6 linked regions of the Macaca mulatta genome follow. The protein of the gene in region 4 interacts with the protein of the main gene of each other region in a pairwise test. Links are inferred from orthologs where the notes say so. Each region holds a gene or a part of one and is shown on either strand. Other genes may lie near its edges.

Region 1 (4,871 bases), on a different chromosome or scaffold from region 4:
ATTCAAACGACCGAATTCTAGAAAGCAATAAAAAAGAATGAGGGAGCCAGGCGCGTCGGCTCACGCCTGTAATCCCAGGACTTTGGGAGGCCGAGTCGGGTGGATCACGAGGTCAGGAGATCGAGACCATCCTGGCTAACACAGTGAAACCCCGTCTCTACTAAAAATACAAAACATTAGCCGGGCGAGGTGGCGGGCGCCTGTAGTCCCAACTACTAGGGAAGCTGAGCAGGAGAATGGCGTGAATCCGGGAGGCGGAGCTTGCAGTGAGCCAAGATCACGCCACTGTGCTCCAGCCTGGGTGACAGAGCGAGACTTCATCTCAAAAAAAAAAAAAAAAAAAAAAAAAACAACAGAATGAGGCCAGGGAGACTGGGATATGAGGATCATTTGAGTTCAGGTGTTTGAGAGCAGCCTGGGTAACATAGCAAGATTCTATCTCTAAAAAAAATTTTCTGTTTTGTTTTGTTTTGTTTTGAGACAAAGTCTCACTCTGTCCCCAGGCTGAAGTGCGGTGGCTCAATCTTGGCTCACAGCAACCTCCACCTCCCGGGTTCAAGGGATTCTCCTGCCTCAGCCTCCTGAGTAGCTGGGATTACACGTGCCCACCACTATGCCCAGTTAATTTCTGTATTTTTAGTAGAGACGGGGTTTCACCATGTTGGCTAGGATGGTCTCAATCTCTTTTTTTTTTTTTTTTTTTTTTTGAGACGCAGTCTCGCTCTGTCGCCCAGGCTGGGGTGCAGTGGCCAGATCTCAGCTCACTGCAAGCTCCGCCTCCCGGGTTCACGCCATTCTCCTGCCTCAGCCTCCTGAGTAGCTGGGACTACAGGCGCCCGCCACCTCACCCGGCTAGTTTTTTGTACTTTTTAGTAGAGATGGGGTTTCACCGTGTTAGCCAGGATGGTCTTGATCTCCTGACCTCGTGATCCGCCCGTCTCGGCCTCCCAAAGTGCTGGGATTACAGGCTTGAGCCACCGCGCCCGGCCGGTCTCAATCTCTTGACCTTGTGATCCACCCGCCTTGGCCTTCCAAAGTCTGGGATTACAGGCATGAGCCACGGCACCCGGCCAAAAAAATTTTTTTTAATTAGCCAGGCATGTTGGTGCATACCTATAGTCCCAGCTACCCAAGAAGCTGAGGTGGAAGGATCACTTGATCCCGAGAGGTCAAGGCTGCAGTGAGCTAGGATCACACCACTGAACTCCAGCCCAGACAACAGAGTGAACTCCTGTCTCAAAAAAAAAAACAAAAACAAAAAACAAAAACAGAACTACTGCTATATGCCACAACGTGGGTGACTCTCACAGATGTTAAAAAAGCCAGACATAAAAGAAGACAAACTACAGTGTCTATTCATATGCATATACAAAACTAATCTTTAGAACTCAAAGTTAGATAGTGGCTACATTTGGAGTGGGGGAAACGACAGAGAGAGAACATGGATGATGAAAATGCTCTATGAATTCATCTGAGTGTGTACATTTGTAAAAGTTTGTTGAAAATCTCATTTAAGATTTGTCTACTTGGCCAGGCATGGTGGCTCACATCTGTAAGCCCAGACTTTGGGAGGTCCAGGTGGGCGGATTGTTTGAGGTCAGAACTTCAAAACCAGCCTGGCCAACGTGGTGAAACCCCATCTCTACTAAAAATACAAAAATCCAGCAGGTGTCGTGGTGGGCACTAGTAATCCCAACTACTGGGGAGGCTGAGGCAGGAGGATCACTTGAACCCGTGAGGCAGAGGTTGCAGTGAGCTGAAATCACACCACTGCACTCCAGCCTGGGTAACATGCAAGGCTCCATATCATTAAAAAAAAAAAAAAAAAAGGTTTGTCTGCTTTACCATACTTAAGTTACACCACAATCACAAAGGAAAAATAAATAAAGCACAGCTGGGAGACATCTGAAATGTGATTTGATCTTGATCTATGTCTCTTTTCTCACCAATCCTCAGACTAAGGGGCCAGGCAGAACAAAGCTTCCCTATGTGCCCTCTCCATCACCAGCTGGTGGCTTTGATGTGGCCTCCCCTTGGGCAGGCACCTTCACACCTCCTGGTGAGACAGACAGTAGGTGACCTCACTGTTCATGCTGGGAAGCAGGGTCCCTCTGAGACACGTGGGCATGCTGGGTAGCTAATCAATTGCATCCCAGCAAAGCTAAACTCTCTAGGCATGTTTTCATCTGTTCATGGTGTGGTGGAAGAACAAAAATGGCAGACCACCTCTGGTACAGTTAGCTTCTCCCTCGTCCTCAGCAATTCCACTCCAGCCCCAAACTTGTTCACTCCACTCAGCAATAAAGCAGCCATGCTGAGTGTGTTGGTTCTGGGTTAAGTAGTGTCCCTCAAAAATTCATGTCTACCTGGAACCTCCAAATGTGACTTTATCTGGAAATAGGTATTTGCAGGTGTAATAAATTAAATTAAGATTAGGTCATACTGGATTGGCATGGGCTCCAATCCAATGACTGGTGTCCTTATAAGAGGAAAAAACAGGCTAGGTACAGTGGCTCAAACCTGTAATCTCGATACTTTGGGAAGCCAAGGTGGGAGGATTGCTTGAGGCTAAGTTTGAGACCAACCTGGGCAACATAGCAAGACCTCATCTCTACAAGAAATTTAAAAATTAGCCAGGCATGATGGCTCCCACCTATAGTCCCAGCTACTTGGGAAGCTGAGGTGGGAGGATCGCTTAAGCCCATGAGTTGGAGTCTTCAGTGATCTATAATCATGCCATTGCCTGAGTAACAGAGCAAGACCCTGTCTCAAAAAAAAAAAAAAAAAAAAATCCAATAAAATAAAAATAAAAAGAGAAAATACACACACACACACACAAAGAAGAATGTCATGTGGCGATAGAAGCAGAGACTAGAATCATGCTAGCAAAAGCCAAAGAATGCCTGAGCCACCAGAAGCTCACAGAGCTATGGAACAGAATCTCCTTGAGAGCCCTCAGAGGGAACCAACGCTGTGTCACCTTGATTTTAGACTTCTGGCTTTCAGAACGGAGACAGAATAAATTTCCACCGTGTTAAGCCATCCAGTTTGTGAAAATTTCTCAAAGCAACCACCAGAAATGAATATGTGTTCCCTTAGGAAAGCAGCTTAAAGCTTAAAGGACCATTGGCTGCTACAGGAGCAGGCTTCTCAGAGGTCCTACTAGGATCCTACTCCATTTTTCAAAAAGCATGTTCTGATAAACACAATTCTCAATATCTTGTTATATTTCCTGAAAAAGAAGTTGTAGCTCCCTCAGCTCCTGGGTGACTGCCCTATTGAAGCTCTCTTCTGGGAAGCCTACTGCTAGGTGTGCTGGAGCATAGCTAGGCACATAGCGGACACTCACCCCCTGTCAATTAGGAGACGCACCTGTGTGCCAAAGCACCCAGCTCAGCCTCTAACACGCTCCCTGATCACCTCTTTAACTACAGCAGCCACCAGCATCAGACTGAAACTGCTGGCTGAACTACAGTAGCCACCACCATCAGACTGGATATGCTAGTTTAAGGGCAGTGCCTGGCTACTTCCCTCTGAAGGCTCTCAGTTGAAGAGGCAAGGCCAGGCTTGGCCCTGTTCTCCTCCCATTGCAGTGGCTGACACTGGGGCAGAGAGTGAGGCCACTCACAGGGTCCTTATTCTCTTGGTCTGTCCTGGTCTCCCTGATGTCCCCGTTGTAGGTGGAGGTCCGCTGATCCTCGGCTGCACTCCGCTGCTGCCACAGGATGGCCTCTCCCTCATACTCCTTTCTGTACAGGTTGGTCCTGTCCGACAGGCTGGCTCGACGCACCACCTTCCTGAGAGGACAAAGTGGGTGCTGGAGGCTGCACCCAGGCGCCACAGGCAGGAGCACGCACGGGGACCCTTGGCTGCCCTGCCCTGGACTCACCCACGGCTGCCTGCGCTGGATGTCCTCCGGCTCAAGGATGACTTGTGCCTCAGCTGTGACTTCATGATCACGTCATGCTTGTGTTTTAGCTCCAGCAGCAGGACCTTGAACTCTTCCTCCTCGCACAGGTCTGAAGGGGCAGAGGAGTCTGTTGTGGGGGACAGGGCCAGGACCTGTGGCCCAAGAGGGTGCTCCAGACCAGACGAGCTACCACCCCAACCCAATGAAAACTCCAAGCATCTTTTGGGGCATGCAGGGAGGGAAGCAAACAATGCCAGCCTAAGTTCCTGGGCTGCAACCCAAACCTTAGAGGATTATAAGAATGGGAAACCCAGGTTCTGGGCACAGTCACAATTCCTAAGGTTCCCAGCTATGACCGAGGGATTCATGTTCCTCTTTGATAGTCTCCAAGAAGAGTCCTCAAGTCTTCATTGACAGAAGTAATGAGGGAAATAAGCAGGTACCCCACATAGCCCAAGCAATAAATTATGCAAAAATGCTAAGAAAGCTACATACTCCTATCTATTCTACTTAACCCCTTCATCCAGCTATCTACCCACTGCTGAAAGAGCCATCTATTCAGATTCATCCTTTACCCACTCATCCACTTATTCTTCTATCTATTCATCCATCCATCCACCCACCCACCCATCCAGTCAACCATACCTCATAATATCTACCCATGTACCCCTCTCATCCATCCATTCATCCATTTATCCATCTATCCCTTCATCTGTCCATCTGTCCATTCATCTACCATCCATTAATTAATCCATCTGTCTATCTATACACCAATCCATCAGTCTATACAACCATATATTTATCTATTTCTCCCTCTACCCATCAAAAAATTGATAACTGTCTATTTGTGCACACCAGCTGTTGTGCTGGACTCACCTATTGGCATCTCATCCATGGATGTCCTTGCACTGAGACTAGCTCCATGGGACACCAATAGCTCTGCCATCTGCATCTGAAACAC
Region 2 (5,431 bases), on a different chromosome or scaffold from region 4:
GCTTTCACCTCCCATACTCAACCGAAACTCCTGCCTCAGCCTCCCAAGTAGCTGGGACTACAGGCGCGTGCCACCACATTGGGCCCAAGGCCAGGTTTTAAAAACTTGCATCTAAGTATTATTTACATAGGATTCCTTGTCTGCAATATATTCTACTCCAATATAAGTAGGTGGTTGATGAGTTCAAGCTTCCACGTTCACTAACTGTGTAAAAACTTAGGCAAGTTTAAATTCTCTGTGCCTTAGTTTCTTTTTTTTGAGACAGTCTCACTCTGTTGTCCAGGCTGGAATACAGTGGCACCATCTCAGCTCACTGCAACCTCTGCCTCCCAGGTTCAAGCGATTCTCCTACCTTAGCCTCCCATGTAGCTGGGATTACAGGTGTGTGCCACCACATCTGGCTAATTTTTGTATTTTTAGTAGAGATGGGGTTTCACCATGTTGGCCAGGCTGGTCTCAAACTCCTGACCTCAGGTGATCCGCCGCCCACCTCAGTCTTCCAAAGTGCTGGGATTACAGGCATGAGCCACTGTGCCTGGCTGCCTTAGTTTCCTTATCACTAAAATGGGGATACTAACACCTCATAGAGATATTGAGACTTAAGATGTACAGATATCTATATATACAAAAACATCAAACGTTCCTGACACAAAGTACAATACAAGTATGTACTACTACTGTTATTATTGTTATATTGCTATTATCTATTCTACTGATTCTAGTGGGATAGTTAAGCTGGAATCTCTCCAGAAAAATACACATTAGTAAACGGTATTGAACACAATTGCAGAGGACCCAGGGATCCCAGATTAATCCTGCCAAAGATGATCCACAAGCAACTTGGTTAGTAAAGCAGTTCTTAACCTCTTTTGTGACAAAGACCTCTTCAGTAGTCCAATTAATCTATGGATCCCTTCTCAGAGTTTTTTTAAATTTCTAAAATATATAGGATCACAAAGTAAACTAATTATATTGAAACACAGTTGTCAAAATATTTTAAAATGTCTAATATAGCAATACGTTAAATAACAATATTTTTGACATATAGCAAGTAATGAGCATAAATATTTCAAGATATCTGCAAAAACTGTAATATATGTTAAAAAGTGATTTGTCTTGGTGACAAGGTCACAGACACTGTTGCTGCCATTAACATTTAAAGAATTTTCACTTCTTTTCCATTTAGATTTCAGTTAGAAACTAGTGAAAATAAACAATTTTTTTTCCCCAACCAAGCTCAGGTACTTACTTCCTCAATTCTATCCAAAAACCTAGATTCAGAACCTTTGACTTATGGGAAAGTGCAAAAATAATTTTGGAGCCAGAAATTTATGTTCTAGAAGCCAGACTTCAGACTTTAACCCCCACATTATTTACACTTGAATGACCTTAGATATCTAACTTCTGAGCTTTGGTTCTCTCACTGAGAATAATTCCTCTATCATGAGGTTACTGGGATCAAATACTAGTTAACAAAACGTCAAATGACCAATATGTTGTTTGTCACTGATTTTAAAACCACATATTCAGCCCCAAATATTTAAAGACAGCGAATTTTCAATAAAACTCATATGAGAAAATGAAGAACGACATAGTAATTCACAAAGAAAATGATTAATGGAGATACAACTTTTAAATAATAGTTTGGCAGAGATATGGTAGAATTTGTCTAACCTGGGGAGTTGGACAGGCCTGAACTGCTAACATCCCGTCCATGATTTGACATCAGCAACACCTGGATCTAAATCCCAGTTACACTACTTTACTTTTACTAAGTAAAGTTACTTTAACTTCTGGGGCTCGGTTTTGTCATCTGTAGAATATTTTAAGTATTGCTTTAGAGACAGGAGAGGACCTAATTTAAACAATAAATGGGGCTGTTATTAAAACTTACATTTTAATAAAGCCAAAGGAATCAATTTGGAAGTCAAAAGTATATTGTGGAGCTCCCGTCAATATAAACTCCACAATCTTTCTTCCGCTCAGCAAAACACACACTTAAAACCTGTGGTATTTACATAGCATAACATTCCTAAAACAAAGTGGCCGGCAATGTCTTAAAATCCTATCTGATTTCTTATTCTGCCTAAGGAAAACAACAATGAGGATAGAAAACAGTAAACAGAATGAGTTCAGTAATTTTAAATCTTTTCATGATTTCCCCGGATGTTCCAATGAATGATTATTATTAATGTTAGATATACTCTAATGTAGCAGTCTTTTAAAACACTAAAGATGTCAAGCTTATCGGCGACACAATGTCAGTTAAACAGAAAAAAAAACCTAAAATCATTTATTTACTTTATGCTGGAACATTATGGATTAAGATTTTCCCACGGGGGGAGGGGGGAGGGATAGCATTAGGAGATATACCTAATGTAAATGACGAGTTAATGGGTGCAGCACACCAACATGGCACGTGTATACATATGTAACAAACCTGCACGTTGTGCACATGTACCCTAGAACTTAAAGTATAATTTAAAAAAAAAAAAGTCGAAAAATTAAAAAATAAAATAATAAAAATTTTCCCACAACCCGGAAAAAAAAAAAATCTGCCATAGGCTGGCCCCGGCTCCTAGACCCATTATACAACCTGTAAATTCCTTCCCTCATTGAAAAGATTATTTTTATGGGCATAGTTAACAAACGCCAAGTTGCGAAGTTGCAGCTTTGCTGGTTTGACGTTTTCACAATGTAAGAACAATATGATCTGGAATCTACTCAAAGCATTAGCCAGGCAGTCAGCTGACGCTTACTGCACACAAGAGGACAGAATGAAGGGAAATTAAATTTCGTATTTCTGTAAGGCAGGTCTCCAACTCTATCTTGAAAACTAAATAGGCCAACAGCAGATGTTCTAGTTTAAGTAATAAAAGTATCTCATTGTTCAAATAACATTACAAACACCGGCTTTTCCCGGAATAAGTTTCTCTCCTTCTTGGAATTTTCCTTGTAAAGGGCTTTTAATCGGTTCATAGAACCAACCCTTCATCACGCAGTTGCTGCTTGAGTAACTTTTACAAAAGGTCAAAGCGGTGCCTTTCAAGGCTTCCAAACCCTACTGGCTTCTCCTCGATTCAAAGTAACTCGCTTTCACCCACAGAACGTTCCAGAGACCTAGGGACGGGGCCCGGGCAGAATTTGGTGGAGGTTGCTCAAAGAACTTTTTCAATTTTCTTTTCAAAACACTTACCGCATTTCACCTTCCTCCATCCGTGGCCCCACATGTTGCTCGCCTCCCTCCCAGAGGGCCCCGCGAGGCCGCGCTCGGCCCCCGGAACGCGCCCACCTGATTACCCTCTCCTCTCAGACTCCGCCCCCCAACCCCCCAATGCCGTCTCCTTTAGGAGGTCCATATGGGACACTTTACCCCTCCTCTGAACCTCACGCCACACCAGACCAGCCCTCCGTTCTTCTCCTTCAATTCTTCTCCATTACGGGCATCACCTCCCATAGCTTCCTAGAGTGTTGTGAGCGCGCAGAGGGAAGCTGCAGGCCTGCTCGGCCCAGGTGCTGTGTCAGCCTATCTGCCGGTTCCGCGGCGTGTACGGCCCGGAAAGTCACATGGCGGTGGGACCGGCCGGCGCCTCTACACTCCTGCTCTCCTAAGAGCAGGACGAGACTAGCAAATCCACTCACCTCCACGAAAAGCAACATGTCGTCCTCTGCTCGGCCCAATCGTTCCCGCCGCCGCAACTCCAACTGGCTCACAGGCCCGCGCCCCAATTGCTAGGATAAGGACACACACTCGCCTTGCCCCTCCACCCGGCAGTGGACCCGGCTCCTCCCCCGCCGTCAGCGGCTGCGGCCTGACCCGCCCAGTCCCACCTCCCTTGAAACAACAACTGCTTCCGGGTCTAGGGAAAAATTGTTTCCGGCAGAAAAGAGTCGTCGACGCGCTCAACTTTTGCACCATCTTTTCTAGCAACAGTGTGGGATGTACTATCATCTGTCGCGGGGGGGACGATTAGCAGGAGATGCCATTCTGGGGCACGGGGATGTGTAAAAATCTTAATGACACATTTTATCACTTGTCAGATAGCTACACAGCACTGATAATTCCGCAGTTTTCATAGTTCACAATCTAGATTTGATTTTTAAAGCCGACCTTGGCGACGTGTGCTGAACAAACGTCCAACCCTGCCGAAAACTGGTGGCTCACAGAAGAAAAGTAGACAAGAAAAAAAAAAAAGCTATAAAAAGCTATGATAGTAGTAAATACGTTAATAGCAGTTACTGTATATTAAATGCTTACATTGTGCTTGGCACTATACTGAGCATTTTATGTTAATTGATCTTAAAACAATTTTATGCAATAAATAATATTATTATCATCCCCATTTTACAGTTGAAGGAGCCCTCTAGGAGGTTGGGTTTCGCTTTGACACACCTTTAAAGAACTTTGCCCTGGGCTCATTTGAATTAGTTACCCATATCTCCACTTAATATACTAGTAACAACGCTTAATCTGTATAGTCTCTTCTTTGATATTCTGTCATTAATTCAAACGAAATACAATAAAAACAAATTTTTTAAATTATCTATAATATTTGTTAGATGGTCCAAATTCCTTATCTTTAGCAATATGTCCCTCCCTTACCACTCCCACGTCTACGTCCTAGTTCAAACACTCATCTTTTGAAATAATCATGTATTGGCTGGGAGGGGTGGCTCACACCTACAATCCCAGCACTTTGGAAGGCTGAGGCGGACGGATCACTTGAGGTCAGGAGTTCAAGACCAGCCTGGCCAACATGGTAAAACCCCGTCTCTACTAAAAATACAAAAATTAGCCGGGTGTGATGGTGCACACCTGTAATCCCGGCTACTCCGGAGGCTGAGGCAGAATTGCTTGAACCCAGGAGGCAGAGATAACAGTGAACCGACATTGCGCCACTGCACTCCAGCCTGGGCAACTGAGTGAGACTCTGTCTCAAAAATAATAATCATTTGGTAATGAATAAAAATTGGCCGGGCGCCGTGGCTCATGCCTGTAATCCTAGCACTTTGGGAGGCCGAGGCGGGTGGATTGCCTTAGGTCAGGAGTTTGAGACCAGCCTGGGCAACACGGTGAAACCCCATCTCTAGTAAAATACAAAAAATCAGCCAGCCATGGCAGTGTGTGCCTGTAGTCCCAGCTACGTGGGAGGCTGAAGCAGGAGAATTGCTAGAACCCAGGAGGCAGAGGTTGCAGTGAGCCAAGATCACGGCACTGCACTCAAGCCTGGGTGACAGAGTGCGACTCTGTCTCTAAAAAATAATAATAATAAATAAATATGAAATAATCATGCTTGATCTTTTCCAATGGATTTTTCCATTATATTATTTTAAAAATCTTCCTCAAGTAAAGGTCTCATTTTCACCAAACCACTGTTAACTTGATTTCAAGACTTTGCCATTCTGATCTCATGAAATCTTCCTTGCTTTG
Region 3 (5,508 bases), on a different chromosome or scaffold from region 4:
TTGCAAGTTGCCATTAAGAACAAGAATGCATTACAAAAATGAATGTGCGTGTACACATGGATATTTGTTATATTATTTGTGATTTCAAGTCTCAAGGGAGTATGTGGACATCAGATGAAAGTCACTGTTCTGCTTGTTGAGGGAAGGTAGTAATTTCGGGGGTTAGGATTGGATTTAAGGTTATCTCATGACTTAATCCCAGTGCTTCCCACGCCAAATGCTGAGGAGGTGCTCCTTGGATCTAGCTGCAATTTGCTTCAGGTGCAATGTGAATGATAAATGAACTTGTTTCTGTCTGCATCCTGTTGGAACAGGAGGCTTGGCTTTTTCTCAAGCACCTCTTTTTTATTCATTCCCTTTAGGGTAATATATCTCTATCTTTTCTGACGTTACACGACTTGCTCATTGTGTAGTGAAAACACATTAACTCAAAACATTTTTTAGCCTTAATTGCCGTTCCTTATAAAGAGAAATATTAAACTTATACCATTTTCAGACATACTATGCTCAGGTGAACTTTCCAATTAGCAACTTCCTTTACTTTGACAATCTATTTCTATGAAATATTACTATTATTTTATTAAATATTATATATGATCAGTCTAACGTAGTAACATAATAGTGGAATAGACGTGATCTTAAAATCTATATTAGCTGTGTGATTTTTGACAAATAACTTTCCCTCTGTTTCCCATCATTTGAAAAAGGACTAAAAGTTCTAAGTGACTCCTAACATTAACAATCTAATACCCTATAATCAAATCTATAAATATTTTCAGCGGAGAGCTTTAAACTTGCCGCTGTGAAGTTTAAGGGAAATAGCACCTATTATATATCAACCCCATCATTTTCTTCTGTTGGCAAAACTGCAGACCCTGCTTGGGTTGTAGTAATACGGTGACCGCCACGTGAACAACATTTTTCTCGGTGTTTTCTTTTAAATATGCCAACTATAGACTTTAACCAGCTGTAAGGCAGTGCCTGAGGTGTGGAGACACCTGAGGAACTGTGTGGGCTTTCTCCCTCGAGGTGGGCCTACGATGAGTTTTAAGCAAAGGGCAGCAGTCACCTGGCACCAGGAAAAACTCCTTGCCCTCTGGAGGGAGTCGCCCCAGGAACGTGGGTTTTGTGTTCCTGTTTCAAGTTGAGTCCTCTAGAACCGAAGAGTCCCAGTCATCTGCCGAAGGTGCCCTCCCAGGCCCCCTGCTTGGGAGCGCCCACCTGGAACCTGGGCATAGAGGAATGAAAATGCAGACCCGCACAAGCGTGAGGACACGCCGGGAGACCCCCGCCCGCCAGGAGTTGGGGCAGGTCCGGCTTGGGCGGGGGCGTCGGGGGAGGGGTGGTGACCCTGAGTCCCGCGCGGCAAGGGCGCGGGCCACCGCAGGTGGGGGCGTCGGCGAGCAGGCAAGCGGGGACGGAGACTCTGGGCTCCATCGGGCTTTGTTCCGTCACGAGCCGAGCCCTCCTTTCCGGAGAAGCCAATTAGATCTCCGACGGAGGAATCATCCGACCTGCGCCCCCGCCGGGAGGGGGCTCGGGAGGGGCGGGGCCCAGCGCTTGGCTCCTCGCGAGCGCGGCCGCGGGCTGCGTGGGGGAGTCCCGGCGCCGTCGCCGAGCCCGGCCCCGCCCTCGCCAGGCCCCGCCCTCGGGGCTTCCCGGGCGCGCGCCGCCCCGCCGTGTCCGCGCGCCACGCCCCCCTGCTCGCGGGCCGCGTGCGGAGCCGCGCGCCCGGGAGGCTCCCGGACCGTGGCGGCGGGCGGCGGCAGCGCAGCCCTCCGCGGGCCATGTCCTCTCCGGCGGTGGCGAGGAGTTCCCCGGGAGGGAGTCGGGAGATGGCCCCGGCGCCGCAGGGCCGAGGCCGGTTCTGGGAAGTGGGCGGCGGCAGCGGCCTTCGGCTGGAGCGCGCGGCCGCGGAGTCGGAGCGCTGGGAACTGCTGCTCCGCCGCGGGGAGCTGCTGGCGCTGGGCGGCCACCTGAAGGGCGCGCTGGAGGCGTTCGCGGCGGCGCTGCGCCGCGGGGCCCCGGCCAGGCCCGAGTGCCTGGGCGCCCTGGTGGACTGCCTGGTGTTCAACTACCGGCTCCGCCACGGGCTGAGCTGGAGCGCGGCCCCGGCTGCGGGCGCGGACGGCGGCGCCTGCGGGCTCCTCAGATGCCTGGGCTGCCGGGGCTTCCTGAGCGAGCCGGTGACCGTGCCCTGTGGCCACAGCTACTGCCGCCGCTGCCTGCGGAGGGAACTCCGCGCCCGCTGCCGCCTCTGCCGGGACCGGCTGCCGCCCGCCACCGCCAGTGCCACTGATGCTGAAGGGACCGCCCCGCGGCCGCCGCCTCTGGCAGCCGCCATCGCCGCCTCAGACTTCAGAACCAGCGTCGTCCTCAACCACCTGGCCGAGAAGTGGTTCCCGGGCCAGCGCGAGCGGGCCCGGGCGGCTGGCAGACTCGGGGAGCTGCTACACCAGGGGCGCTACCGGGAGGCCCTGGCCGCCGCCTGCGAGGCGCTGCGAGCAGGTGACCGCGCGGGGATGCGGCGGGGCCGGGCCGACCGCACCCTCCTGGCCCCGAGGGCCGGGGACCCGGAGCTTGTCTGCGTCCCGGGAGTCTCCTCTGCTTCCCCGGGGCCGCTGGGCCACTGGCGTGTTGGGTCTCGGGGTGCTGGGGGGTGTGGGAGGGGGCGGCGCCCCGGGGTGCTTCGGTCACAATGGGGATCGCCCTGGGAGCCGACTGTGACGCAGCGCGGGGAGGGGCGCTCGGCGCGGGGTTCCCTCGGCCGCGGCCTGGCCGTCGGGCGCGCGCTCCGGGCGCGGAGTGGGTGACCGGAGCCGTGGGTGCCCCGGCGCGGGATGGGTGGGAGCTGGGCTATCCCGAGCGGCCGCTCGCTTCCTGCCGCGCGCTTTCCGGGAATTGACTCTCTCGCGCCAGGCCCGCCGCGGGGAAACGACTGCCGGGGTGGGGAGAGAATCCCCCACGAGGACAACTAGGCCGGGAAGGCGGCGTCTCCCTTCCTCACCCACAAAAGTCACCGGGACAATTGGGAGCCGCGGGAGGGCAGAATTGCATAAGCTGGGGGCGGGGGTCGTTGTGTAACGGGTGACGTCCGGTGGGCGTGGCGGGAGCTCCGGGCGGGCACCCGGCCCCGGGAGGCCCCGCAGGCCGCCGGGCTTGGGGCGCGGGGCGGAGCTGCCCCGGGTGGTCCCTTGCTACCTGGAAATGCCTGAACTGGTTTCTCTCGAAAGTTTCAGCCGGCCTGTTTCAGATCATGCTTATTTCCTATGTACTTTGCAGTGCACCTAGCTTATGGTAAAGATGAGAGGGGCTTCCTGATCCAGAGTTCTTTGCCACGCTTCTCTTGGCCGTTCCACTTAGGATCAAGCTGTGGGGAAAGGCCTTGTAGGTCTTGAGTGCATTTCTTAGTCTCCAAGAAGCAGCCTCGGCCTCCTAACCTAGGTTAGCTAGCACTTTCTTCTTAAGGTGGTTTTAGGCGCTGAAAGGGGGCAGTGTCAAGCTTCTCTTATGTAAAAGGAAGAGTTGTTCTTTAAATCAGTAGTTCTTTACCAGCAGGATTTACCTCCCCTCTCTCAGGGGACATTATCTAGAGCAATATCTGGAGACATTTTTGGTTGCCACCTCTTGTGGGGGTGGTGCTGGTACCGACATCTAGTGGGAGAGGCCCGGGGTGCTGCTCAGACATCCTATGAGGCACAGCAGGATTCCCACAACAAAGAATTATCAGGCCCCAAGTGCCACTGTTGATAAACCTTGTGTTACGCGTATTTCAAGATTTTAGTGTCTATCCATTGGCATGATAGTTGGGGGAATGGCATGATAGTTGGGGGATAGTTGGGGGAATAATCCCCAAGAAAATAGACATCTAGAATAGCAGCTGACTTTAGGTATTACAGGTAAATTTATAGACTGTGTAACTGAAAGGATCATCTTTCGGGTCATCTTTTGTCCCAAGTGCTTAGTCATATTGAACTTACGTCAAGATCTTGCATTGTTTAATATCTTCAGAGTTCGAAGCACAAACACCGGAGATTTTTGTATTCTTTCAGTGCCTTTATGAGGAGTAGGCAGTTATAAAATAGAAAGATAGGCTCAGAACAAAAGAAAAGTGTTTGGAACACAGAATTCTGATACGGATGACTCTGTCCCTCTGGGTGAATAAAGAGAAGAGAAACTGGACTCAGCTGTACAGACCATCTAGTAACTGACCATGGTATGATTTTTAAAGCAAAGAAGCAGATGCCAGGCAGTGAAGACTTGCGCACAGTCACAGTGTTAACTGGTTGAGAGGCAGCGCTGTATCTTCCACTTCCCCTAAACGTTGGTCTAGGGTTCATCCTGCCTTATAGCTTATCTGATGAAAATGTTTATTATACATATCCAAAGAAGTTTTTTTGGTCACTGAGGCTGAAACTTATGGACAGTACTACTGATACAGTGATTCGACCTTAAATTAGGTGTTTCACAAGAATCCAGGTCCTGGGCCATGGAAGAACAGTGAACATATTTGCTAATTGAGGTCTAGCTTAACATTTTGTGACCAATAATAATTAACAGAGATTTTGGTTCTTGTATCGAGGATGTTATGTTTAACAGGAAAAGGCTCTGAAAGATGTAATCTCTGCTTTTTACAAGCTGCATAGATTGCACGTGGGGATTTTGTGCACTTAGCAACTTAATTCTACTCTTGCAGGAATAGAACCCACGTCTTCTGACTTTCACTTCATTAGCTAATTTTTTCCTCATTTTTAGTTCTTTCAAGAATCATTAATTCCATACTTGAAAATGTCCGAATGGCACGAATGAGGATAAGTTTTTTAAATCTTTTGAATTATTAATGTGAAGTAAAATGGGAAAAAAATCTCAGAGCTATTAGAGTTGGTAAAGGGCCGATTTATAAGTGTTTCACAATTTATGGGTGTAAATCAAAATGTTAACGAGTGCAGTCATAATCCATTTGTATGATCGTTAGGCTTTAACTTCTTTGGAATTGGCAAGTTAGGCATTTGACATGTATTTATATAACTGTACAGTTGTAGTTATTAATGACCCTGTCATTATTGATAATGAAAAAAAGATCTTCACTATAATTTTTTTCATGTAATTCTTATAATGAAACAAATAAATACTATTAACTAGAAAAAATCTAGTCTGCAGTTAGCCCACACACATCCAAACTTATCTCTGCCAGCAGCAAAAGAAAGCTTGAAAACCTTTGCCAAAATCAGAAGTTTCCCATTTAGATTACATAAGTTTCTGTTGAATTGAAATATATTTAGATAACATTTAAACCATTGATCTTTTGGTATTAACTCTCAGATGTTTCATAACTTTCTGTCTTTTTAGTATTCAAGGATATTATGTAAAGTTTTTTCTGCACTGAATCTCTGTACTTGAGCCTATTGAAATGATCCCACTAAGCCATGCTGTCTGCCTTTTGTGTTTAACGTTTTTTTACACTGACTTGTCTCCTTCGTGTGTTCACCTCTCCCCTAAAAGAAGACA
Region 4 (4,937 bases):
CACACAGCAGGCCCCTTGTTCGAGTCTTTGTTTATCTATCAGTGAGACCCATGCTGAACACAGCATTTAACATTGCAGTATTTCCCCAAGACCCTGACTCTACTGCTGCCCACTATCCCGCTCAATCGTTTCCTCCACAGTGTCTATCGCCCTCTGAGATACCATACAGTTTACGTGTGTTTGTATCTATCGCCCTCTGAGATACCATACAGTTGCATATGTTTGTAGGCTGCAGGTATGATGTTACGTATATGTGCCTACACACATGTGTATGATTGGAAGGATAAATGAAGTATGTGTGTTTATGTGATTGTATGTATGTATGATTAGATACATTAGTGCATAGCTATGTATGATGTTATGTGTGTACAATGTATGTGCCTATAATTGTATATTTGTATGTTCATATGATCATACGTTCATACAGTTTATGTAAGGTATCTCAGAGTCCGTTTATTTAGACTCTGTCTCTCCCAACTAGAATGTCAATTCCACTGATGGACCCTCAAGAGTAGCAGAAGATGGTTAATGCATGTTTGTTCATTGACTGAATAGACGGATGGATGGATGGGTGGGTGGATGCAGAGATGAATGTGTATGTGTGACTGTATATGTGTGTGTGCATGTATGACTGGAAGCATGGATGAGTGTATGTATGTGCATATATGAGTGTCTAGTGTGTATGATGGACGGATACATTTATATATGTGTGTTTGTATGAACGCATGTAGGTATGATTAGATAGATGACGAATGTATGCACGCATGATATATGTATACATGATGTATGTACACATGTACAATTGTATGTATACATGCATGCATGCATGATTGGATGGATGGATGGGTGTATTTATTTATTTATTTGAAACAGAGTCTCACTCTGTCGCCCAGGCTGGAATGGCACAATCTCGGCTCACTGCAACCTCCGCCTCCTGGCTTCAAGCAATTCTCCTGCCTCAGCCTCCTGCATAGCTGGAATTACAGGCACGCACCACCATACCGGGCTAATTTTTGTATTTTAATAGAGACAGGATTTCACCATGTTGGTCAGGCTGGTGTCGAACTCCTGACCTCATGATCCACCTGCTTCGGACTCCCAAAGTGCTGGGATTACAGATGTGAGCCACCGTGTCCGGCTGGATTGGTGTATTTATGTATATATGAGTGTATGCAGGTGTATGTGATTGGACAGATAAATAAAATGTGTGTGTTTGTGTGATTAGACATAGGTATGATTGGATAAATTAATGTGTATATGTGTACGATGTATGTGTATATGTGTACGATGTATGTGTGTATGATGTATGTGTGTATAATTGTATATTTGTATGCTTGTATAATCAGATGCATGGATGAATGTTCATATGATGTATGTATGATTAGATAGATCCATTAATGTGTGTATGATGTATGTGTGTATGATGTATGTACATATAATTATATGTATAAGACGAATGGATGAATCTACATATGATGTACATGTACAATTGTATGTATCATCAGATGGATAAGTGTATGTCTGATGTATGTATGATCAGATGGACTGGTGAATGTTTGTACAACATATACATGTGTGAGGTATATATGTATGATCAGATGGATGTCTACATAATGTATGTGTGTATGGTGTATGTATGTATAATTGTATGCATGTATGTTTGTATGCTGCAGGTATGATGTTACGTATATGTGCATATACACATGTGTATGATTGGAAGGATAAATGAAATATGTGTGTTTGTGTGATTGTATGTATGTATGGTTAGATTAGTGCATAGTTATGTATGATGTTATGTGTGTACAATGTATGTGCCTATAATTGGATATTTGTATGTTCATATGACCAGATGGATGAATACGTGTATGAAGTATGTATGATCAGATAGATGGATAAATGTATGCATGATGCATGCATGTATAGTGCATGCCTGTATAATTGTATGTGTGTATGTTTGTATTAGATGGATGGATGAATGCCTGTAGGGTATGATGTATGTATGCATGCATGCATGATTGGATGAATGGATGGGTTTATTTATGTATATATGAGTGTATGCACGTATATATAATTAGATGGATAAATGAAATATGTGTTTGTATGATCGTATGTATGGATTAATGTGTATATATGTATGATGTATGTGTGTACAATGTATGTATGTATAATTGTATATCTGTATGATCAGATGGATGGATGAATATGTGTATGATGTATGTATGTATGATCAGATGCTCCATTAATGCATGTATGATGTATGTGTGTATAATGTATTTATGTACACTTGCATGTATGACAGATGGACCAGGGAATGTATGCATGATGTATATGTGTATGATGTATGTATGTATGATCAGACAGATGGGTAAATGTAGGCATGACGCATCTGTGTATGGTGTATTTATGTATAATTGTACATGTGTGTGTTTGTATTAGATGGATGAATATGTGTATGATGTATGTATGATCATGTAGATGGGCAAATGTAGGCATGATGTATGTGCGTATGGTGTATGTATGTATAACTGTACGTGTGCATGTTTGTATTAGATGGGTGGATGAATACGTGTATGGTGTATGTATGTATGATCAGATGGCTCCATTAATGCATGTATGACGTATGTGTGTATGATGTATGTATGTACACTTGCATGTATGATCAGATGGACCAGGGAATGTATGTATGATGTATATGTGTGTGATGTATGCATGTGTGATCAGATAGATGGGTAAATGTAGGCATGATGTATATGTGTATGGTGTATGCATGTATAATTGTACGTGTGCATGTTTGTATTAGATGGGTGGATGAATATGTGTATGATGTATGTATGATCATATAGATGGGTAAATGTAGGCATGATGTATGTGCTTATGGTGTATGTATGCATAATGGTATGTGTGCATGTTTGTATTAGATGGATGGATGAATGCCTGTAGGTATGACGTATGTTTGTGTTCATGCACACACGCAGGTATGATTGGATGGATAGATGGATGGATGGATGAATAGATGCCCCACAGCTGGATGCAAAGTAGAGAGATGTGACCTCAGCACCTTTCACCAACAAGGGTCCTCATCCCTGAGCACCCTGCGGCTCTCCTGGGCCTCTTCCCCACTTACCTACCCCCATCTCCCCTCTTACCCTCAGGTTTGGTTCAAGAACCGCAGGGCTAAATGCAGGCAGCAGCGGCAGCAGCAGAAACAGCAGCAGCAGCCCCCAGGGGGCCAGGTCAAGGCCCGGCCTGCCAAGAGGAAGGCAGGCACGTCCCCAAGACCCTCCACGGATGTTTGTCCAGACCCTCTGGGCATCTCAGATTCCTACAGTCCCCCTCTGCCCGGCCCCTCAGGCTCCCCAACCCCGGCAGTGGCCACTGTGTCCATCTGGAGCCCAGCATCAGAGTCCCCTTTGCCTGAGGCGCAGAGGGCTGGGCTGGTGGCCTCGGGGCCGTCTCTGACCTCGGCCCCCTATGCCATGACCTATGCCCCGGCCTCTGCTTTCTGCTCTTCCCCCTCCGCCTATGGGTCTCCGAGCTCCTATTTCAGTGGCCTAGACCCCTACCTTTCTCCCATGGTGCCCCAGTTAGGGGGCCCAGCTCTTAGCCCCCTCTCTGGCCCCTCGGTGGGACCTTCCCTGGCCCAGTCCCCCACCTCCCTATCAGGCCAGAGCTATGGCGCCTACAGTCCCGTGGATAGCTTGGAATTCAAGGACCCCACGGGCACCTGGAAATTCACCTACAATCCCATGGACCCTCTGGACTACAAGGATCAGAGTGCCTGGAAGTTTCAGATCTTGTAGAGGACGCAGTCTCCATCTCTCCCCGTCGGGCCTCGGGACCCTTTCTTTTCCGAATCTGCTTCCCTGCAGCTTAGATCCCGGGACGGCATCCCTGAGAAAGCAACCGGAACCAGCTGTCCTTCCGACAGCCGTGGTCTCCGCGGTTCCGTGTTCAGCTTACAGAGCCCACCCCTTTCCTCCACAGGGAGAGGCTCCTCCCTCTCCCGGGACAGTTCACAGGTCCTAGTGATTCTCTCAACCCCAACACCGTCTGGCGCGACTGTGACCGCGGAAGTACACCACGAGCTCCAGGCTTCAGAAAGTGGTGCTGAGAACTTGCTCCAAGAAGAAATCAAACCAAACTTGCAGTTGATTTGGGGTCATGTTTAGGTCAGAATCACCATGCCCTTGAACAAGCAGGTAGAGGGGCTTGATTCCTTAACTTTCCACGTGGACACTTTTCTTTGAGACTCGGAGTCTCGCTCTGTCGCCCAGGCTGGAGTGCAGTGGTGCGATCTCAGCTCACTGCAACCTTCGCCTCTTGGGTTCTGGCGATGCTCCTGCCTCAACCTCTCAAGTAGCTGGGATTACAGGTGTGCTCCACCACACCCAGCTAGTTTTTTGTATTGTTAGTAGAAACGGGGTTTCAGCATGTTGGCCAGGCTGGTCTCGAACCCCTGACCTCAAGTGATCCGCCCGCCTCAGCCTCCCAAAGTGCTGGGATTACAGGCGTGAGCCACGGTGCCCCGCCCTACATGTGGACACTTCTTTAGCATATGGTTAAGGACCTTTCTAGAAATTCCAAAGACAGACTTTAAGAAGCCCCATCGGGAAACCTTAGGCCAATGATGCAGTTACATTAAAAATAAATCATCTGGGAATTTTACAGACTTCACAAATGTCAGGCTTACCTGGTAGGTTTAGGGGGCTGTTTGAGAGACAAAGATCTATATTCATATATGTAGCTATACATATATGTCCTTTTTCTTCTTAGTTTCTTTAAAAAGACATTTTATCACTCATTTGCTCATTAGCATATTGGGAATGTGTATATTTGGTAGGGAAATGAAACGCAGCTTGCCTGTTGCATCTCTACTCCTTTCTTCTTTTGTTGTAGGATTTTCTAAAGGTGAGACACTGGTGGAATTGGGGTAGCTG
Region 5 (5,442 bases), on a different chromosome or scaffold from region 4:
TGAGAACTAAAATCATTCTATATAATTGTTTTTAGCTAAAGAATGTAGGGAGGCCGGGCACGGTGGCTCAAGCCTGTAATCCCAGCACTTTGGGAGGCCAAGATGGGCGGATCATGAGGTCAGGAGATCGAGACCATCCTGGCTAATACGGTGAAACCGCGTCTCTACTAAAAAATACAAAAAACTAGCCGGGCAAAGTGGCGGGTGCCTGTAGTCCCAGCTACTCGGGAGGCTGAGGCAGGAGAATGGCGTGAACCCGAGAGGAGGAGCTTGCAGTGAGCTGAGATCCGGCCACTGCACTCCAGCCTGGGTGACAGAGCAAGAATCTGTCTCAAAAAAAAAAAAAAAAAGAATGTAGGGAAAATTAAAGCTTCTGTGATTTCCCCTGTGACCAAGAGAAAGATAATTACGATAATTTTCAGAAACACTTTGGAATTTAGAATCTTTAAAAATGATCTAAGAATACATAGATAGATGTATTTCCCCAGATGAATTTGTGAAGTTATTCACTTCAAACTTCCCTTTTTGAATGGCGGAAGTCAGCATTTGTTCATTCAACATTTTTAAAAACTGAGTTCCAATTATGTGTTGGATACAGCTAGAAAAATAAATGAATGAATATGCTAATCTGTTGAAAGTTATCTTGAACCAGAAATCCAAATCAATTACTAATGTATTTACCAAGAAAGCACATAACATATTTTTAAACTGTACTTTAAGTACATGGGGCCAATTTCTACATGGAATGCTGAACTTGAAGCTGACACAGAGAAATTCACACAAATAGGCAGTTAGAGGCCTTATTTAATGTATAATTAAATTTAATTAACCATCTCCATCTCTCACTTCTGAAAATGCCATTTTAAAGTAGAGGCAGTCCTCATTTTGCATGGTTCCAGTATATAGATTTCAGTTACTACAGTTTAGTTAATTAACACCAGTTCTCCAACAACACAGTTCAAATTTCAGTTACCATGGAATATTAACTGTAATTACATAAAGTAGTATCTAGCTCTTCAGTTCACAAATTATTACATAGTTATCAGTATCAATAGTATAGTATACTGATATCGTGTACTGATATAATATAGTGATCAGTGCATCATGATCAGTAATTAATTACATCACTTCTTTCAAAGTCTTTTGGTGACTGGTCACTGCAGATCCGTTATTCGGTTAAAGCGCAGACAGCAAAGTGCATAGTTGTGTCACCTCCTTGTCTCCTAGTGATAAGCCCACGTGATGTTTTACAAAAATGAAAATTGAAGGAGGAAATTAGCCAATAAAAAGAGCAGCAAAGAAATAAAAAATGATAATGCTGAGAGTGAAATCTGAATCTAACATAAGTGGAGTTAAAGGAGAAACAGCTGACTATGAGAGTGTTGACACTGCCTCCATTTGATAGACTCTAGAGAAGCAGCCAGAGGAATTTCGAGAAGGCAAACTTATCAACATACTTGAGGAAAGTCATTGTGATGAAAAGGATGAAGACGTCCTACAGAAAGGGTCACTGGCAAAAAGCTTCATTATTAAAGAAACTTTCAGAGATATTTTACAAAATTGAAGGTACAAAGGATAAAATGTAGGAAATTGACCCAAACTTAGAAGTATGACAGTTTGCCAAGACACACAAAAAATGTTTGCTCTCACAAGTTTTACTATGAGAAGAAAACAAGTACTGTTCAAAATACTCTTTTTTTTTTTTTTTGAGACGGAGTCTCGCTCTGTCGCCCGGGCTGGAGTGCAGTGGCCGGATCTCAGCTCACTGCAAGCTCCGCCTCCCGGGTTTACGCCATTCTCCTGCCTCAGCCTCCCGAATAGCTGGGACTACAGGCGCCCGCCACCTTGCCCGGCTAGTTTTTTGTATTTTTTTTAGTAGAGACGGGGTTTCACCGTGTTAGCCAGGATGGTCTCGATCTCCTGACCTCGTGATCCGCCCGCCTCGGCCTCCCAGAGTGCTGGGATTACAGGCTTGAGCCACCGCGCCCGGCCCAAACTACTCTTGATAAGTTTTTTTTCAAGAAAACACTTTAGCTTTCAATGTTTCTAATGTTTTAAGTTAGTGTATGAAAGTTTTACTGTTTTACATTTCCCTATACACTTAGTAAGAAAGTTTTAGTGTTTTGACAATTTTTCAAGGTTATAGAACGACTGTAATTTTTCCCATTGGTGTTTAAGATCTCTTTGAATGGTTTCAGCTTGCAGTCATTTTTCAATCCCACACTAATGTGCAATTGGAAGACTGTATTTTAAATGAGGTAAGAGGCAGCTGTCTTCCTTACATCCTCAAACATCATCAATTCATGCATCTGATGTGTCTGGGCATAGTACTAAACAGGATCTGACCTTATTTTGACCCTACACTCTCCACTTTCGCCAAGAACACTCGCTTAATGATTTCTCCCTGCAAACTGGTTAAAACTGGAACTGGGCCTTGAACCACCCAAAACCACCAAGTTACACCCAAACTAAAAACTCTCCAAGGACTTCCAATTACACCACTGGAAACAAAATCCAAATTCTTTACCCTGGCCCTAAAGTTGCTTGTGCCTTCTGCCCAAATCTCCATCCTCACGCCAGGCCCTCCCCTGCCCGCAACCCGGGAGATCCACCTCTCACAGATCGGCCTCTCGCTGTGTCTCCCTCGGTGGATGTTCTGTTCCGTGCTGAGCTTTCTAGGTTAGGGCCCCTTTACATGCCCTCGTTCACTTTGTCACGTGATAAATGATTCAATGGTTCTCCCTATGGCAGGGCCCCATTAAAGATTTCGTGGGCCCTTTCCTCCATTAAAAAAAGATTAAAAGAAGTTAATGGATTTTGTAGGCCCTAAAAATCTCATTTTCCCCTCCTGATGTGAGAAAAAAATCAAAACACTTTATTTGACTTTACGAGTTCACTTTAAACGAAATGAAAACATTCTCGTGGCCGGGCGCGGTGGCTCACGCCTGTAATCCCAGCACTTTGGGAGGCCTAGGCGGGCGGATCACGAGGTCAGGAGTTCGAGACCAGCCTGGCCAACATAGTGAAACCACGTCTCTACTAAAAATATTAAAAACTAGCAGGGCGTGGTGGCGGGAGCCTGTAATTCCAGCTACTCAGGAGGCTGAGGCAGGAGAATCGCTTGAACCCAGGAGGCGGAGGTTGCAGTGAGCCGAGATCACGCCATTGCACTCCAGCCTGGGCGACAAGAGTGAAACTCCGCCTCAAAAACAAAGCAAAACCAGAAGAAAAAAAAAAAATTATCGTGGCCCCCTGAATCCTCGTGGTCCCTCGGCATGGGGCCTACCGTGCCTGACGGATCAGCAGCCCGGCCCTCGGGCCTGGGGGTCCCGCGGAGGAAGCTCCGGGCCCAGACTCCGCGCAGGCCTGGCCGCCCAAAACAGTATGCGGAGGGATGACCCGACAGCGATTTCGGAGCCTCTCTCTGGGCGTCAGTCCTGCCCCAGCACTCGCCACGGCCCACGCAGCCAACACCTGCCTGAGGACTGGCCAGAGCTCGGCCCACGCCCAGCCTGCGAAGTGGTGCCAGCTGCTCTCGGCTGCCCTCAGCTGCCCTCCCTCCCCGAGGCGTGGAGAAGGGGCCCTGTCTTCGGAAGGCTGAAGCCTCCTCACCTGGTCCTCCCGGCTCTCAGCGTGCGCCTGCGCGTTCGGAGGCGCCCCCGTCAGGCCCGCGCGGCTGGGTGGGAGTCTTACTGCGGGCAAGGCGGGGCCCGGCCGCCTCAGGGTGCGCTTCAGGTGACGCTTCAGGAAAACGGTCTCCAAGTCCCTAGACGCCCTGAGAACAGTCATTCTTTGTCCCTTAGGTAGAATTTTGTCTATTTGTTGGAAATACTGTGCTAAACCTGACATTTTTTCTACCACTTCCCTCCCTGAAACATCCCAGTAGCGCCCCCACCGACCGTGTTATTTGTTTTAACTTTTCCCTTCCACATCATTTCCTTCAGCTAGTCGCTATTTTGTTCACTAAACATCTGTGGTGGGCACATTACGTGCCGTGCACTGTGCTAGGACTGGAGTACAGTGGATGTACAGACGATGGTCCCTGCCCTCATGGAAGTTATAGGCTACCTTCAGAAAGTTTTTTAAAGTCTTTTCAAACTCCTGTATTCCAAGAGGGTCTGTCCCTGTCTTCATATTCATTCTCGCTTATTTGAGGTTGATTCCCATAGTCCCTTTGACGAACTCCAGATGGGGTAGGAGCGTCCTGGTCCTTAACAGTTGGTTGGTCTGGGTCTTCAACTCTGTCTGGTTAAAAAGGAATTCTCTGAATTAGTCCACAGGAGAGGGAAAGAGAATGCTACTTCCAAGCTAGAAATGTACAAGCAGTTTTCCTTGTTTTCTTTATTATTATTATTTTCTCAGTTCATTGCCTAGATGCAGGTTGGAGGTGGGGTGGGACAGTATTTCAATGAATGGCACAGGATAGGTTACATGTTTCAACAGGAAAAGAGTCACCTGCTTGTATTCTAGCCCCACTAAACAATTTTGCTCCTATCAACTGTTCCTCAGGGTAAGAACAGAACTATTTAACTTGTGTCCTTTTTTAAACACTATAATCTGATATACAAGAGAGTTCCTGTGTTTCTGTTGAAAGGGTAGCTTCTCAATCGCTCTTTCCCCCCATATAGTCCAAATTAGCCTTCCTGTCTCTAATCTCCAGATTATCCTTTCCACTGATGTTAGAATTGTCCTTGTAAAAATATTTTGATCATATTCTTTGTCTTAAAAACGGCTTATGTTTCCTTTTCGGTTAAAGGGTCCATTATAACTGACCCCACCTACCTTACTAGGCTCAACCCCAACATTAACTGTCTTACTCCCCTTTGTGTTGCTATGCCAGAATACCACAGAACAAGTAATTTATAAATAAAGGAAATGTATTCTTAAATTCTGGAGGGTAGGAATCCAAGGTTGAGAATCCCACATCTAGTGAGGGCATTCTTTCTGTGTCATCCCATGGCAGAAAGCAGAAGGGTAAGGGAGTACAAAAGAGCAAGACAGCAACAGGGAGCTGAACTCACTTTTACAACAAACCCACCCTTTCAGTAACTAACTTACTTCCAAGATAATGACATTAATCCATTTATGGGGGTAGAGCCCTTATGACCTAATCACCTCTTATTAGGCCCTACCTCTGAACACTGTTCCATTGGGTATTAAGTTTCCAGCAAATGAACTTTGGAGGACACATTCAAACTTGAGCACTAGCCTCACTCCAAACCATACCACCTATTGCTCTTACCTACTATTAATTTCTTTCTGTACCCTCTATAGCATTTATTAAAAATATGCAAAGAACTGTACCAGAAATGGAGACTATGACATAAGAATTGTTTTCTGAGGGTGACAAACTATAATGGTCATGAGAAAGCACCTTGCAGACTTTAAACTACAAGGAGTGTAACTGACCAAGGGCATCAGCTGCTGCCTTAGAAATCTACT
Region 6 (4,871 bases), on a different chromosome or scaffold from region 4:
GAGAAGACACCAAGAAGCATCAGAAGAAAATCAAAAGCAAAGGAAACAAGAAACGTCTTCCGGAATGTTTGTTCTTATCTGCTTATAATTCAAAAAGATAACTGAATCCTGGATAGTGCAATACAGTCTGTGGTCACCTCTTTAAATTAAGCTTTTGGTTCACAGCAGTCCCCCTCATCCATGAGGGTTTTGTTTCAAGAAGCACCCCTCCCCCCACTATGTGGACACCAGAAACCGTGGATGGTGCTGAACCCCGTATATGCTATGCTTTCTCCTGCCCATACGTGCCACACAGCTTGGACATGCTGGACAAAGGAAGGACTCAGTCCTGGATGGGACAGAGCAGGACGACCAGATTTCATCATACTACTACCCAGAAGAATATGCAATCTGAAACTTACAAATTGTTTATTTCTGGAATTTCTCATCTAATATTTTCAGATCACAGTTGACCATGGGTAATTAAAACCTGGGAAAGTGGAGGCATGGGTAAGGGGGGGCTACTGTGTAATATACACAAAACATCTTCCAGTACTTCACAAAGGAGCAATAGGTCCCAGGAAAGATATTTACATCTTTACATGTTACTAAACAAGTAAATTTTAAAATGTGCCTGACACATAGAAAAGAGGGGAAACAGAAAATCAGAATGACACCTCTTTCCAAATGATACGTTCAGCTCTCTGGGAAAGCTGGGAGGCTACGCATGGAGCTTGTGGCTGGAGCAGGGGAGCTATTCACGTGCCTACACTCACAACAGGGCAGGCAACGTTTTTCAAATCAAAGAAACACTCATATAACTATTTAAACAGTTTGAGTAAACATTAATAAATGTGATTCAAAAAAAAAAAAGTCAAAGAATCCAATGTTTATACATACAGGCAGACAAATAATTCCTATAAACCTATAAATGAATACTCCTTATCTTATTTGAAATTATCTCTTAGTCAAAATGGATCTTAAACTCCTGTAGAATGTTCTTTGTAAGCCTTATGGCAAAGTTATCTACTCTGGAACTCTTTCAAAGAACTTCTTACTAACAAGATGAGAGGAACTGACGTTGTGAATGTCAAACAAATTAATAAGCTTATTAAATAAGACTCACTATTCATAACTGTCTCATCTCCTTTGGAAGAGGAAGGGTAATGCCCCCTCTAAAAGCCCCAGAATTTTCTGGAAGCCTTCCCTCTTCCAGACAGCGTGCTGAAGCCACACTGAGATGAGAGCCACGCCCCACTCTCAACAGCGAAGGACCTTGTTTCCAGGAGAAAGCCCGGGCGACACGTAGGCACACAATGACCTCTGTCTTCAGAGGTCCCAAGGGTGCTGGTGCCACTAAAGACATCAGCGATGTCTACTGGTACATGTAAAATTCCTAGTCACCCAGCAAAGCTTCCAGAAAAGTCTTCCTTCCTTCTCAGCCACCCCCTACTCTTGCGCCACAGAATCCAGGAGGTGTCTGTAGAGGGACTTCACCTGGGAGTCAGCCCCGAGCTCATCAGGCTGACCACAGCTTGGGCCACAAAACCCCAACAGAGAACTCTGCACGGGCAAGGCAGGACATTGACTCACTGCTGGGGCAGTGCCCGCCCAACCCAGGTGTGCTGAGTAACTCCAAGGCAAACGCTGATGGGAACAATGACCTCAAGCTTTTGCCACTGATCCTAGAAGGAAATGACTCTTTCCCTCAGTGAGAGGGCACCTGCGCTTCTGAACTGAGAAATATTTCTGATGCTTCCCAGGAGCATGAGCTGGGACAGGCACCACCGCACGGCCTAACCCTCGCAGCTGACTGCCCGCCTGACTGCTGGCAGGACTAAGGTGAGCTGGGCACCCACTCCACCATGTGCTTCAATCCCCAGGCTCTGCAGCAGCCGCCCCCCACCTGTGAAATGTTAAGAGCGCATGGCTATGACAACCTCTACTTTAAACGGGGACCTCGTGCCTCCTCCCAAGCTATCACTGTGCTTCCGAAACAGTGGAACCGGTGGAGGCCGCCATGGCCCTGCCGTGGCCCGCCCTGCAGCCCCCTTTCCCAAGGTGCTAGGTGGAGAGGGTACGTACTACTTGCACCTGTCCGTCTTCTCCGATCTGGTGGATCTGCACCTGCTGAGCGTTGGCCAGCGCGTAGTGCAGGGCCTGCGGCTGCGGCTGTGGCTGCGGGAGCTCACTGGCGGGAGGTGGGGTGCTCATCATCGGCTCTGTGGGGGCGACAGGTGTGAACGGGGTGAACGAGAAGTGTCTTAGGCATTGCCTCTTGCGGCATGTGTGCACCCCTGTCCCTCCCTCTTGACTCCCACAGCAGAGAAGAGGAAATGCTTCATTTTTCCTCGACTCGCTGCGTCTCCACTCTTCTGCAGAGATCGCTACGAGTGAGTCTAAGGAACTGAGGCTTCCAACATGGAACGCAGAAGCGCCTGAGAGTGGAGTGATGTTGCTGTGACAAAACCCCTTCCAGTCCCAACTTCTTTAAATGAATAAAGTTCTTCAAGTGGACATTAAAAGCTGTGCTGGCAATGTTTGTCCATGGGGAATTAAACTAATAGGACAAAAGCCTCATCCATACACTTAAAGGTACATTTCCGACAAATTTTACTTGCTGTGTTTAATCAAAATGAGATACATTTGCTTTGATGTACTGTGTATTAATTTTCACTGTAATCATGTCTCAATCTTAATTTTCTTAAACACTTAGAGTATTAAGAGCACAGAAAAACTTTTTAATTTTCAATGTATACATGTAGCTTTGTTGCAGAGAATTATAATAACTAATTAAAAAAAACTTTTAAGCATAAAAATGTAGTAAGAAGGGCCGGGCACAGTGGCTCACACCTGTAATCCCAGCACCTTGTGAGGCTAAGGCAGGCAGATCACCTGAGGTCAGGAGTTCAAGACCAGCCTACCCAACATGGTAAAACTCTGTCTCTACTAAAAATACAAAAATTAGCCAGGTGTGGTGGCACACGCCTGTAGTCCCAGCTACTTGGGAAGCTGAGGTTGGACAATCACTTGAACCTGGGAGTCGGAGGTTTCAGTGAGGCAAGATCATACCATTACACTTAGCTCCAGGCAACAGAGCGAGGAGGGGGGGAGGGGAAAGGGGAGGAGAGAAAAGAAAAACTTTCCATGTATTTTTTACCAATAGCTAATGGGAGGTATTAAATTGCCATAGTACATAGATTCCACTGAAAACATTTTTTAAAGTAACAATAAAATGTTGGCTTTTTTTTTTTTTTTTTTTTTTTGAGACAGTCTCGCTCTGTCACCTAGGCTGGAGTGTAGTGGCGTGATCTTGGCTCACTGCAACCTCTGCCTCCTGGGTTCAAGTGATTCTCTTGCCTCAGCCTTCCAAGTAGTTGCGATTACAGCCACCCACCACGATGCCCAGCTAAATTTTTTTGTATTTTTTGTAGAAAAGGGATTTCACCAGGTTGGCCTGGCTGGTTTAAAACTCCTGTCCTCAAATGATCCACCTGCCTCAGCCTCCCAAAGTGCTGGGATTACAGATATGAGCTAGGGATTACAGATATGAGCTACTGTGCCCAGTCACATAATAAAATGTTGATACTTGCAATATGCTAGAAATTGCCCGGCTACACTAAATCAGAATCTGAATTTCATGAGATTCGAAGGTGGTCCTCCTGCATGTTGAACGTGGAGAGCTCGGCTCCAGCCAAAGACCCTGACTCCACCTGAGCACCTCCAGATGTGGGTGATGTCCCAAAGCAACCACCCCCAGGCAGTGCTGCACGCTCCACAGTGCGTTCCTGTCTGCCTGAGCAGTTACAGAGCACTTAGCACCATAGGTCCTCCAGCAAGCCTTGTGGACCCCAGGAAGAAAATGACGAAATCCCAGTTGGGCTGAAGCCCACCTCCGCGGACCTACTGCTCCTCCACTGACCCTCTCGGCACCTACAAAACCAGCCTAATTCTTCACTGATGCGCTGCTTCTCCAGGCATCTAACCATTATCAAACCTTGTGAAATCTCAATTTCTAACTGTTTCCGCAAAGACAACGGTTTCCAGCCCACTGCCACCTTGACAGTCCCTGGAGCGCTCCTCCCAGCGGCTCCAAAACGCCCCACCGGGGCCACAGGGCAGACAAGCTAAGAATGGGTGTGCTCCAGAGTGCACCTTCCAACTGCACGGGCTCCGAGGAAGGTCCTGCACACCGGCGCAGCCAGGAAAACACTCTGCTTCACACGCTGCTCCACCACCGTCTACTCCTGTGCAAATGCTTTGAGTCTACATTTTCAGCTATGAAATTTCAGCTCATTAAATTTACCCTTTCAAGATTTTAGTATCCTAATGACGCAGGCCAACATATCTGGCAGTCGTCAGGTTATATAACAACCGCTTCTTGCTTACTAAGGTCCTGGCAAGTAATTTAACTTAGGTTTTGATTCCCCATTGGATGAAACAGACCGCTAACCTTAGCAAGTGCACGTACCCGAAACACATGGCAGGCAAGCCTGGAAACCACTCTCCTCGCTTTTCAAGTCTAGGAGTTCCTTACGGTTCTTTCTGATGTCTTCTATTTCTCTCCTTGCTATGTTCCTTTTTTCCTTTAAATTCTTGAATGTAATTTTAATAAATTTCAATGTCCCGGTCAGTTAATCCCAGCCAGGGTCCCTTCCTATATTTAATAAATTTCAATGTCCCGGTCAGTTAATTCCAGACAGGGTCCCTTCCTATCTTCTGATTTTCTGATCACAGGTCACAATTTCCTGCTTCCTGGTACTTTTGACTGGATACTGGAGATGGTGAATTTTACTTTGTTGGATGTCTAGGTTTTGTTGTCTTTCTTTTAAAATTGTTGTTACTTGTGGTTCAGTGTGATCTTTCTCAGGCTGTTTTAAGCTCCGCCTTTA

The links.
Region 1: the proteins of CRX (region 4) and PPP1R16B interact in binary tests that used the Homo sapiens proteins (3 or more experiments, as listed by UniProt). The two-hybrid records come from large-scale screens. The link is inferred for Macaca mulatta from reciprocal best matches to the Homo sapiens genes CRX and PPP1R16B.
Region 2: the proteins of CRX (region 4) and LARP4 interact in binary tests that used the Homo sapiens proteins (3 or more experiments, as listed by UniProt). The two-hybrid records come from large-scale screens. The link is inferred for Macaca mulatta from reciprocal best matches to the Homo sapiens genes CRX and LARP4.
Region 3: the proteins of CRX (region 4) and LONRF1 interact in binary tests that used the Homo sapiens proteins (3 or more experiments, as listed by UniProt). The two-hybrid records come from large-scale screens. The link is inferred for Macaca mulatta from reciprocal best matches to the Homo sapiens genes CRX and LONRF1.
Region 5: the proteins of CRX (region 4) and M1AP interact in binary tests that used the Homo sapiens proteins (3 or more experiments, as listed by UniProt). The two-hybrid records come from large-scale screens. The link is inferred for Macaca mulatta from reciprocal best matches to the Homo sapiens genes CRX and M1AP.
Region 6: the proteins of CRX (region 4) and BANP interact in binary tests that used the Homo sapiens proteins (3 or more experiments, as listed by UniProt). The two-hybrid records come from large-scale screens. The link is inferred for Macaca mulatta from reciprocal best matches to the Homo sapiens genes CRX and BANP.

What each region holds. Positions count from the first base shown.
Region 1 is NC_133415.1:91,777,841-91,782,711, reverse strand, and holds part of PPP1R16B (protein phosphatase 1 regulatory inhibitor subunit 16B), read right to left. Parts: intron 4,863-4,871; coding exon 4,787-4,862; intron 4,020-4,786; coding exon 3,890-4,019; intron 3,798-3,889; coding exon 3,629-3,797; intron 1-3,628. UniProt on the Homo sapiens protein: Regulator of protein phosphatase 1 (PP1) that acts as a positive regulator of pulmonary endothelial cell (EC) barrier function. Involved in the regulation of the PI3K/AKT signaling pathway, angiogenesis and endothelial cell proliferation.
Region 2 is NC_133416.1:57,585,336-57,590,766, reverse strand, and holds the start of LARP4 (la-related protein 4), read right to left. Parts: upstream 3,600-5,431; 5' UTR 3,458-3,599; coding exon 3,374-3,457; intron 3,316-3,373; exon of another isoform or gene 3,197-3,315; intron 2,555-3,196; exon of another isoform or gene 496-2,554; intron 271-495; exon of another isoform or gene 264-270; intron 1-263. UniProt on the Homo sapiens protein: RNA binding protein that binds to the poly-A tract of mRNA molecules. Associates with the 40S ribosomal subunit and with polysomes. Plays a role in the regulation of mRNA translation.
Region 3 is NC_133413.1:13,056,925-13,062,432, reverse strand, and holds the start of LONRF1 (LON peptidase N-terminal domain and RING finger protein 1), read left to right. Parts: upstream 1-1,702; 5' UTR 1,703-1,787; coding exon 1,788-2,508; intron 2,509-5,508.
Region 4 is NC_133424.1:60,319,718-60,324,654, forward strand, and holds the end of CRX (cone-rod homeobox protein), read left to right. Parts: intron 1-3,152; coding exon 3,153-3,800; downstream 3,801-4,937. UniProt on the Homo sapiens protein: Transcription factor that binds and transactivates the sequence 5'-TAATC[CA]-3' which is found upstream of several photoreceptor-specific genes, including the opsin genes.
Region 5 is NC_133418.1:50,146,626-50,152,067, reverse strand, and holds the start of M1AP (meiosis 1 arrest protein), read right to left. Parts: upstream 3,636-5,442; 5' UTR 3,613-3,635; intron 3,580-3,612; exon of another isoform or gene 3,287-3,579; intron 2,661-3,286; exon of another isoform or gene 2,528-2,660; intron 1-2,527. UniProt on the Homo sapiens protein: Required for meiosis I progression during spermatogenesis.
Region 6 is NC_133425.1:83,421,058-83,425,928, reverse strand, and holds part of BANP (protein BANP), read right to left. Parts: intron 2,202-4,871; coding exon 2,065-2,201; intron 1-2,064. UniProt on the Homo sapiens protein: Controls V(D)J recombination during T-cell development by repressing T-cell receptor (TCR) beta enhancer function. Binds to scaffold/matrix attachment region beta (S/MARbeta), an ATC-rich DNA sequence located upstream of the TCR beta enhancer.